2 linked regions of the Canis lupus familiaris genome follow. The protein of the gene in region 2 purifies or fractionates together with the protein of the main gene of each other region. This does not show direct contact. Links are inferred from orthologs where the notes say so. Each region holds a gene or a part of one and is shown on either strand. Other genes may lie near its edges. The genes, in order: COPS4 and STK11.

Evidence for each region.
Region 1: the proteins of STK11 (region 2) and COPS4 purify together in Homo sapiens (affinity purification with mass spectrometry; 4 studies listed by BioGRID and IntAct, with this or other methods). This does not show direct contact. The link is inferred for Canis lupus familiaris from reciprocal best matches to the Homo sapiens genes STK11 and COPS4.

Annotation. Positions count from the first base shown.
Region 1 is NC_049253.1:33,023,798-33,027,606, forward strand, and holds part of COPS4 (COP9 signalosome complex subunit 4), read right to left. Parts: intron 3,079-3,809; coding exon 2,999-3,078; intron 1,078-2,998; coding exon 926-1,077; intron 359-925; coding exon 255-358; intron 1-254. UniProt on the Homo sapiens protein: Component of the COP9 signalosome complex (CSN), a complex involved in various cellular and developmental processes.
Region 2 is NC_049241.1:58,056,971-58,061,285, forward strand, and holds the start of STK11 (serine/threonine-protein kinase STK11), read right to left. Parts: upstream 2,818-4,315; 5' UTR 2,680-2,817; coding exon 2,390-2,679; intron 1-2,389. UniProt on the Homo sapiens protein: Tumor suppressor serine/threonine-protein kinase that controls the activity of AMP-activated protein kinase (AMPK) family members, thereby playing a role in various processes such as cell metabolism, cell polarity, apoptosis and DNA damage response.

The sequences.
Region 1 (3,809 bases), on a different chromosome or scaffold from region 2:
TTCCTTCAAGTGTCTGAGAAGATGTACCTGGACCACCCTTCCACTCCAATCATCCTATTTAATGATACAACCTGTTCCCCAACTTTTCCTTTACTTTTTTCTATAGCACGTATCACCTTCTAATTACTACAACATATATGTACTTATTAAATTATTTATGATGTTTTTTGCACTAGAATGTGAGAAAAAAATATAAGTGAACAGTGATACATAGCCTATATACATGTCCATCCAATATCTACTATTTACTATACTTTTGTCCTGTTTCCAAAGGAATTCCCACCAACACTTGGGCTGCATTTCTCCAATCTTCCTCTTTCTCATATATGGATGCAAGATGCTGTCTTATGGAAGCAACCTGGAATAAGAGGTGGATATGTTAAATTATTTCAACTGACATTAGTGACTAATTAAAATAAATGGATGCTAAGTTAATCTATTGTAATAATGCTTCCAATTAACATATTTAGCTGGCATGTAAATAGTACAAGTTTAACTAGACCACCCCAATTATTTTTTAAATGAATTTTGCATTCACAGAATATCAAAATACTGAACTGAAAAAACACATTTCTTGCAATGTGGATTATAGCAAGAATTTAGTATAAATATTAAACTTTCCTTTTATGTTAACTGCACATATAATGCTGGAGTTTTCCTATGTTTATAGCCTTATTAACAATTTTACTGATTCTTAAAAATTATCTAAAGAGTAATATTTGGTTCATAAATCAAATTGTAATATCTGAGGAAATATCAGCTAGAGTTATAACACCGTAATATTTATTTTTACATAGTAATATGCTGTTTGGCACACTGTTGTCAAAAATAAGACTGGATAATCATCTTCTCTAAAAATATGGTAATATCTCTCCAAAAAACTGCTGCTATCTCATGTTCAAAAATCACAGCTCTAGATTTTTACCTGCTCCTCAAATGAAATGACTCTAGGCTGGATCTTTTCCAAAGTGAAATGATAGATTTCTTTGGCTGTGCTATCAGGCAGGTTAGGGAGATGCGTACAGAAATCAGTCAGCAACTGTCGAGAGATCACGAGACTGACATTCTCATTTACCACTTGTCAAAAAAGAATAAGAGATAAGACATAAGTAAACATGAGTAATTTATAATTTTTCACTAAGCAATAAATTTTTATCTAAAATTAATATTAAAACAATATATATTAATGCAACTTTCAATGTATTATTCAGGGATTTCAAGACCCATATCATCTTATATTAGAGAATCAGTTTTCCTTATGCTGAATTATTTGATTACATAATGACTACACCAAAACAGTAAAAAATCCCACAATTTTTCTAAAAAACTGAAATCACTGGGGAAAAGTTTTGTTTTACATTTGAGAATTTTATATTGTATTTTTCCTTATTTTTCTATAAAGGGAAGGCACAGAAACACCTATATTTTTATTTACATACTTATATCCCACCTAGTTACAAAAAGGAGTTAAAGAAGAAACATAATTTTTATGAAATTTAAATAAAACAAATAGTGACAGTTACTGCCACTTGTACTTTTCCAATAAAAATATAACAAATGAGAACTGAGGTCAGCACTAGATGTACAGACATATTTAATGACATTATTTATAAACATTTATGAGTTTTTATTATTATCTGTGATTAAGGATGAAAGCTCTGAAGCCATGCTACTTCCACTGCATCTGATCAGATACCCTCAAACAAGAAACTTAACTTCTCTGTGCTTCTGTTTCCTCATCTGTAAATTGTGGATAAGGCTGCTGTGAAGCTTAAATGTACTATCTATAGAACACTTTAAACAATACGCTGCACAAAGTACTCAACAAATGTTCATTATTATTATCACTATTACTATATTTTAAAAGAGGTATCATGCTTGTGACCACTGCTCAGATAAATTAAGTCTGAGATCGGCAGTTACTGGGAAAATAAATGATGATTCAAAACCTGTTCAGCTGATATAAATGATTTTCAGTAGACGGCTTTTCTTCGTGGTTCATCGGAATCAAAGTTTATAATAAAAATCACTATTCTTTTGCTACTACAATGTAATATTCTCAATAATACTATTCCTAACAGTCTTTCTGAAGTCACTATCAGTTCATCACACATTGCAGGCCCCAATTTTTTGAGGCAGTAACTTACAATAACCTGTAACAAGCTTCTAATCAGTTTATGATATAATAATCACAATTCATTCTTGGATAATACTGGATACAGCTGAGAAAATAGTTTCATTGTAAGTACCATTAGGCACTTATAATTGTTAGAAATTACTACACAAACTAGCACTTCTCATGATGATAATGTGTGTGAAAGCACACTACAGACTGTAAAGCACTCTCAAGTGTCATTAATATTAACTCAGTATCAATTCCAGCCTGAATTTTGAGTAATTTTCAAGATAACTGGATATGTCTAAAGTCAAGAAGTAGATGAGAATGTCTTGAAGAACAGGAATTTGTAGTTTCCATTCAAATGGAATGTTCTTAATATTAACAACAGTTAACACTTATGTAGCACTTATTATATGCCAGGTACTATTAAAGCACTTTACTATGTATATTAACTCATTTAACCGCATTTAACTCATTTAACATCTCTACCAGGTAGTTATCATATCCCCATTTTATAGACAAGGAAATGGAGGCACAAAGGAATAACTTACCCAAGAATACACAACTAATAAAACAACGGACCAGACTGAATCTAGACTATTCTCTTTACCATTATGCTATATTGTCTTTCATCAGTTACTATATCAATAGCTATACAAAACCTTAATTGGTAATTGGTAATGTAAGTCTGAAGACAACTTACTAAAAAAAAAAAAAATCAAGTGGTAAATAGTTTAAATTCTAAAATCAATTTCAATGTATATTTAATTTAATCTCAATGCAAATTATATTGGTAATTTGATATAAAACAAGCTTGCTCAAGCTTTGAAGTCCTAACTCAATAATACAAGGCAAACATGGAATTTTCATTCCACTTACTTGCTTCGACAAAAGCTTTCAAAGCTTCTAGTTGTTCTGCCCCAGATAACTGAATGGCTTTTTCCAGGATCTGACGATACCTAAAACAATACCAAATAAAAATAATGTTCAGAGGACACTAAGGCTAACTTTGATGTTTATTCATTTCTATTTATCCTGGTTTCTTTCACATTGATCTAATTTATTATTTTCTTTATAGTACAGCACAGATTTTTTTTTGTTATAAGTTCCTGGTCTATCACAAGAAACACTAAATCTGGGATCCCTGGGTGGCGCAGTGGTTTAGCGCCTGCCTTTGGCCCAGGGCGCGATCCTGGAGACCCGGGATCGAATCCCACATCGGGCTCCCGGTGCATGGAGCCTGCTTCTCCCTCTGCCTGTGTCTCTGCCTCTCTCTCTCTCTCTGTGTGACTATCATAAAAAAAAAACAAAAAAACAAAAAAAAAAACACTAAATCTGTAATGCTAAAGGATCACTTCTAGTTTTCTTTACAGTATACCACAATTTTTTAAAAGTTTTCAAGCCTGGGGACACCTGGCTGACTTACTCAGTAGAGCATGAGACTCTTGATCTAGCAGGTTATGAGCTCAAGTCCCAAACATGTTGTGGGCATAGTCTACTTAAAAAAAAAAAAAAAAAAAAAAAAGTTTTCAAGCCCCCCACAAGAAAGTGAATCTGTAACTCTAAGTTATTGGATCTAATGTACCATTTTTTTCTTGAAAAAGTTTTAGTTTTGAATTTAAACTAAGAAGTCAACTTTCAGGGTGCCTAGTGGTAGCTCAGTCGGTTGGGCATCTGACATCTGACTTGA
Region 2 (4,315 bases):
GAGGCTTGTCTGGAAGGTTCCGGACACTTCACTTGGGAAAAAGCAATTGGAGTTTATTAAGCCTCTCGAAGACAAAGGAGCCTTTTTTTCCCTGCAGCCGGCTGGCAGCAAGGCTGACCCGGGAGCCCAGACCTCCTCTTGCAAGGACACCCCTTTCCTTCTCATGAAAGCCGGGTCCTGAGCTGATGAAACGGGCCAAGTGCCCTACCACTGTGACACCTTATGCCAACTGCCAAGCCAGCTGGGGACTCCCAACACTGCACCTGCCAGGCCTCAGTTTCCCCTCAGGTTCTTCTGATGGACACTGCAGGACCGAGCGCCCTGCAGCCCCAACACTGCACACCCAGATGTCTCCACCAGCTCTGGGGGCCTTGCTGACCATTCAGGAAAGCAGAGACTGGGACGCCAGCGCCCGTCAACCCCCCAGTCAGGTTCTGGTCATGTGTCTCCATGGAGCATCAGGGAACTCTTGTAGGTGGCAGTCTGACCCTGGGTGTGTGCCGTTTGTCAAGTCTCACACCGCGCGTCATGACCGAGTGCCCGCACAACAGGTACGTTGTGCCTCAGCATAGACAGGCATGTGTCCACCGCAACAGGGGTCCGCAGAGTCCTGGGGCCTGCTCCACTCTGCTGCCACCAGCCGCCCCAGAACCACTAGCAGGGTGGGCTTGGGTGCCCCAGCCACAGGTCAACTGGTGCTAGAACCCAGCCCTAGCCCTTGAACGGGACTCACGGATTCTGGGAACCTCGAGGCGCTGCTCCCAGAAGGCTGGGGTCTGGGGAAGCCCCAGCAGCACGGAGCAAAGGAGCCAGCACCCGAACATCTGCACGGACCCGGCTGCCTCCAACTAGCAGGGAAGGGACCGGCACCCTGCTGCCCACACATATCAGGGGATGAGACTGAAGAGGAGCCAGGAGGACCAAGGTGGACCTGGGACACTGGGGGAGGAGCTGTTTCCAGGGCAGGAGCTCACTGTCCCCCACCCCACAAGGGTGGCAAACAGGCAGCCCGAGGCCACATAACTCCCAGGTGCGTCTGGCTTAATGAGCCAACAGGACTTAGAAGCCAGGGGTTGAATGGGGATTTCTGACTGGAGGTGAGGGTCACCTGGACCTCAGGGGGTGCTGGCTTGCCACCTGCCTCAGTCTCCCCCACCCCACCTCACAGGTAAGAGGCTGGCCCCAGGGCACCCGGCCATCCCTTCTCGGCGCCCACAGGCTGGGCGACCAATGAAGCATCCCTCAGGTCACTAGGGATAAAAAGACCTCGCCACAACACCGCCAGGCTTGCCTTCGGACCGCACGGGAAGACGACCGCCCCGGCCAGCTGCGCATCAACAGCAGAGCCAGTCCGGTTTGGGTTCCCCGTTCCATCCACAGCTTCACCACGCCCAGACCCAAGCCAGCCCGGAGCGAGGGAACACAGCTCAGCTTCTGCGTGAGAGCCAACCCGGCCAGGAAGGGGGAGGTGCACGCGGATAGGGGAGCAGCACTTTCCAGGATGGGCCTGGAGGGACGTCCAAGGTCGTCAGTCCTGCTGCCTGGCCCGAGAGATAAACCCCTTCTGGGAAACTGGAGGCTGGGAGGAGCAGGAGCCCAGGCGGGGCGGGGACCCAGTGGGTGGCAGCCATGAGGAGGGACGCCCCCTCCTGAGATCAGCGAGAGGGATGGAGACGCACCCCCCCCCCCCGCCCCATCCTTGGGGGTTGGGGAGACTCCAGCACAGACTTCAACACCTCTGCGACGCCTAGGGGCTGACGCGCCTGAAGAAGTTTGGGTAAAAAGTTTGCCAGGACACAATCTGGTTCCTCTCCCAGGGAGTCACCTGGGCCTGCAGTCACGGATGTGTCTGGTGTCACATCCCAAGTGAGTAAGAAAAGGCTGAGTTACCCCCTGCTGACCGATAAGCCAGGGCAAACAATTATTTTTGGCAACCGCAGGGCTCCCCTCCAACAGGGTAAACAAATCGCATTTCGCCTGGCCCTAGTAACAGCTGCACGCTGCGCTGCGCAGAAAACCTGCTGGTGGTGGCCAGGGCCGTTTAGGAACACAAATTCTCAGAGCCAAATAAACATTGGCTGGTTACACTGGGCACCTAAATTCTTTCGACAGCTGGGAGGGTGAAGGGGGGGGATGGGACGCACCCTCATCTGGAAAAGGCTTGGACGCCAGCATCGGAAGGAAGGGGACACCCAGCTGCCGCAAGCTGGCCTGACTCGCCGCACGGTACCTGAGCAGGTTCCCAACAACACCTGCCCTGGGGAGGAGGACACGGGAGCTGCCCGGGCACCTCGACAGTTTAAGGAACGGGAACAAGCAAGAAGGAAAGGGGGGAGGATGACCGACCTTGCTGGCTGCCCGCGCAACGACCCAGGAAGTCCACACTTACTTCTTGACGTTCGCCTCGCCGTTGGGGATCCTCCGCAACTTCTTCTTCTTGAGAATTTTGACAGCCCTCCTGCACAGCGTCTCCGAGTCCAGCACCTCCTTCACCTTGCCGTAGGAGCCCTCCCCTAGCAGGTCTCCCATCAAGTACTTGCCGATGAGCTTGGCCCGCTTGCGGCGGGGCTGGTAGATGACTTCCGTGGAGTCGATGCGGTGGATGAACGTGTCCATCCCCACGGACATCAGCTCCCCCTCCGTAAACATGCCCAGCTGCTGCGGGTCGGCCACATCCATTCTGGACCCAGCGCCTCCGACTGTGGCCGGCGGTCCCTTATCTCCCTTATCTGCTGCCCCTGGTGCGCGGTTCTTCCTTTTGTCCCCCTAAAATTCCCTTCTCCAAAATAAAAGGCCCGAAAACAAACCCTCCCTCCCCCCCCCCAAAAAAAAAGTCAACAAAAATGCAAAAAAAGGAAAAATCGAAAAAAAAAAAAAACAGGAAAACCCCTGTCCGGAAAGAAACGATTGTACTAGTCGTGAGTTCAAGAGGCGCGCGTGGCCCGGAGCCCCGGCGGCCGCGGGCGCGGGGCGTCGCAAGTCTGGGTGCCTGCCCGCCTCGCGGCTGCGGGCCGGGCCGGCGCGTCCACGGGGGCCCTCCGGAGGCCGGTGGGGCTTCCGAGCGCTAGGTCATCCTCCAGGGACTTCAGACCCTCGGACGAGCGCCGCTGCGGCCGGGCCGAGTCCCCTCCGGGCCGGGCATCACCAGCGGGCCGGGGCGCGCGCCCAGACAGGGCCCCGCGGCGACCCGCCGGCCCCCGGGCCCCGGGCTGCGCAGCCGAGCGGTGCCGGCGGCCGGGCGCGCTGCTGGGGGCGGCTCCCGGCGGGGCCCGCCGTCCCGGGGGCCCGAGGCCGCGGCGGGCGCCTCTCCGGACGGCGCGGGGCGCAGCGGCGTCCGCCCCCGCCAGCCCCGGGCGCGCGTCGGGGGGCCGGGGGGCTGCCCGGGGCCCTCCCGCCGCGGGGAGCAACTTCCGTCGGAGCCGGCGCCCCCGCAGCGGCCGCCCCCCGCCCCAAACGGCAGCCCGCGCTCGCTCTCGGCCGCGAACGCCGCCGGCCGCGGGCCGCGGGGCGCGGGCACCCGGAGGGCTCCGAGCGGCCGCGGCGGCGCAGGCCGAAGGCCCGGGCCGGGGCTTCCCGAGGCCGCCGGGGCCCGGACGGCGAGCGCCCCCGCCGCAGCCGCCGCGCGCGTGGAGCAGGCGGGGCGGCGCGGGGGCCCAGCCCATGCAAGGCGCCGCGGAGCCGGCCGGCGCCCGCCGCCGCCGCCGCCGCCGCCTCCCGCGCCCCGCCTCAGTCGCGGACACCCCGGGCCGCCTCCCCCTTCCGCGCCCGACACGCCGCCGCCATCTTGTTTACCTCCCGCCCCCGCCCTGCGCCGCCGCGCCGCCGCACGCCCGCCCCTGCCGCCGCCGGCGTGCCCGCCCATTGGCTGAGGCGGCAGGCCCCGCCCCCGAGGCCCGCCCCGCCGCCGCCGCCGATTGGGCCGTTTGGACCCAGGCGGGCGCCCAAGTGGGGATTGGCTCACCCTCGGCCCCGCCCCGGGGGCGGCTACCGCTCGGCTCATTGGGCCGCCGAGGCGCCCGTCACGGGGAGGCGGGGCTGGCGGGAAGCGGGCGCGCGGGGAGTCGCTGCGGCGGCTCGGCCTCGGAGGGGCGCGGGGCGGCGGGCGGGGGTCGTGGGCGACAACGGCCGCCTGGGAACGGCTGTGCGGCGGGCAGCGCGCCCGCGGGCCGGGGGACTGGGCTCGGGGGCCCCGGGGCCACGCGGCCGGCCAGCGGGCGGAGCCTGCGGGGCTGGGCGGGGGGGGGGGGGGGGCGTGAGGTCGACCCCGCGCGGGGCGTGGAGATGACTCCGAGAGTGCCCGGAGCGGTCCGTTCGC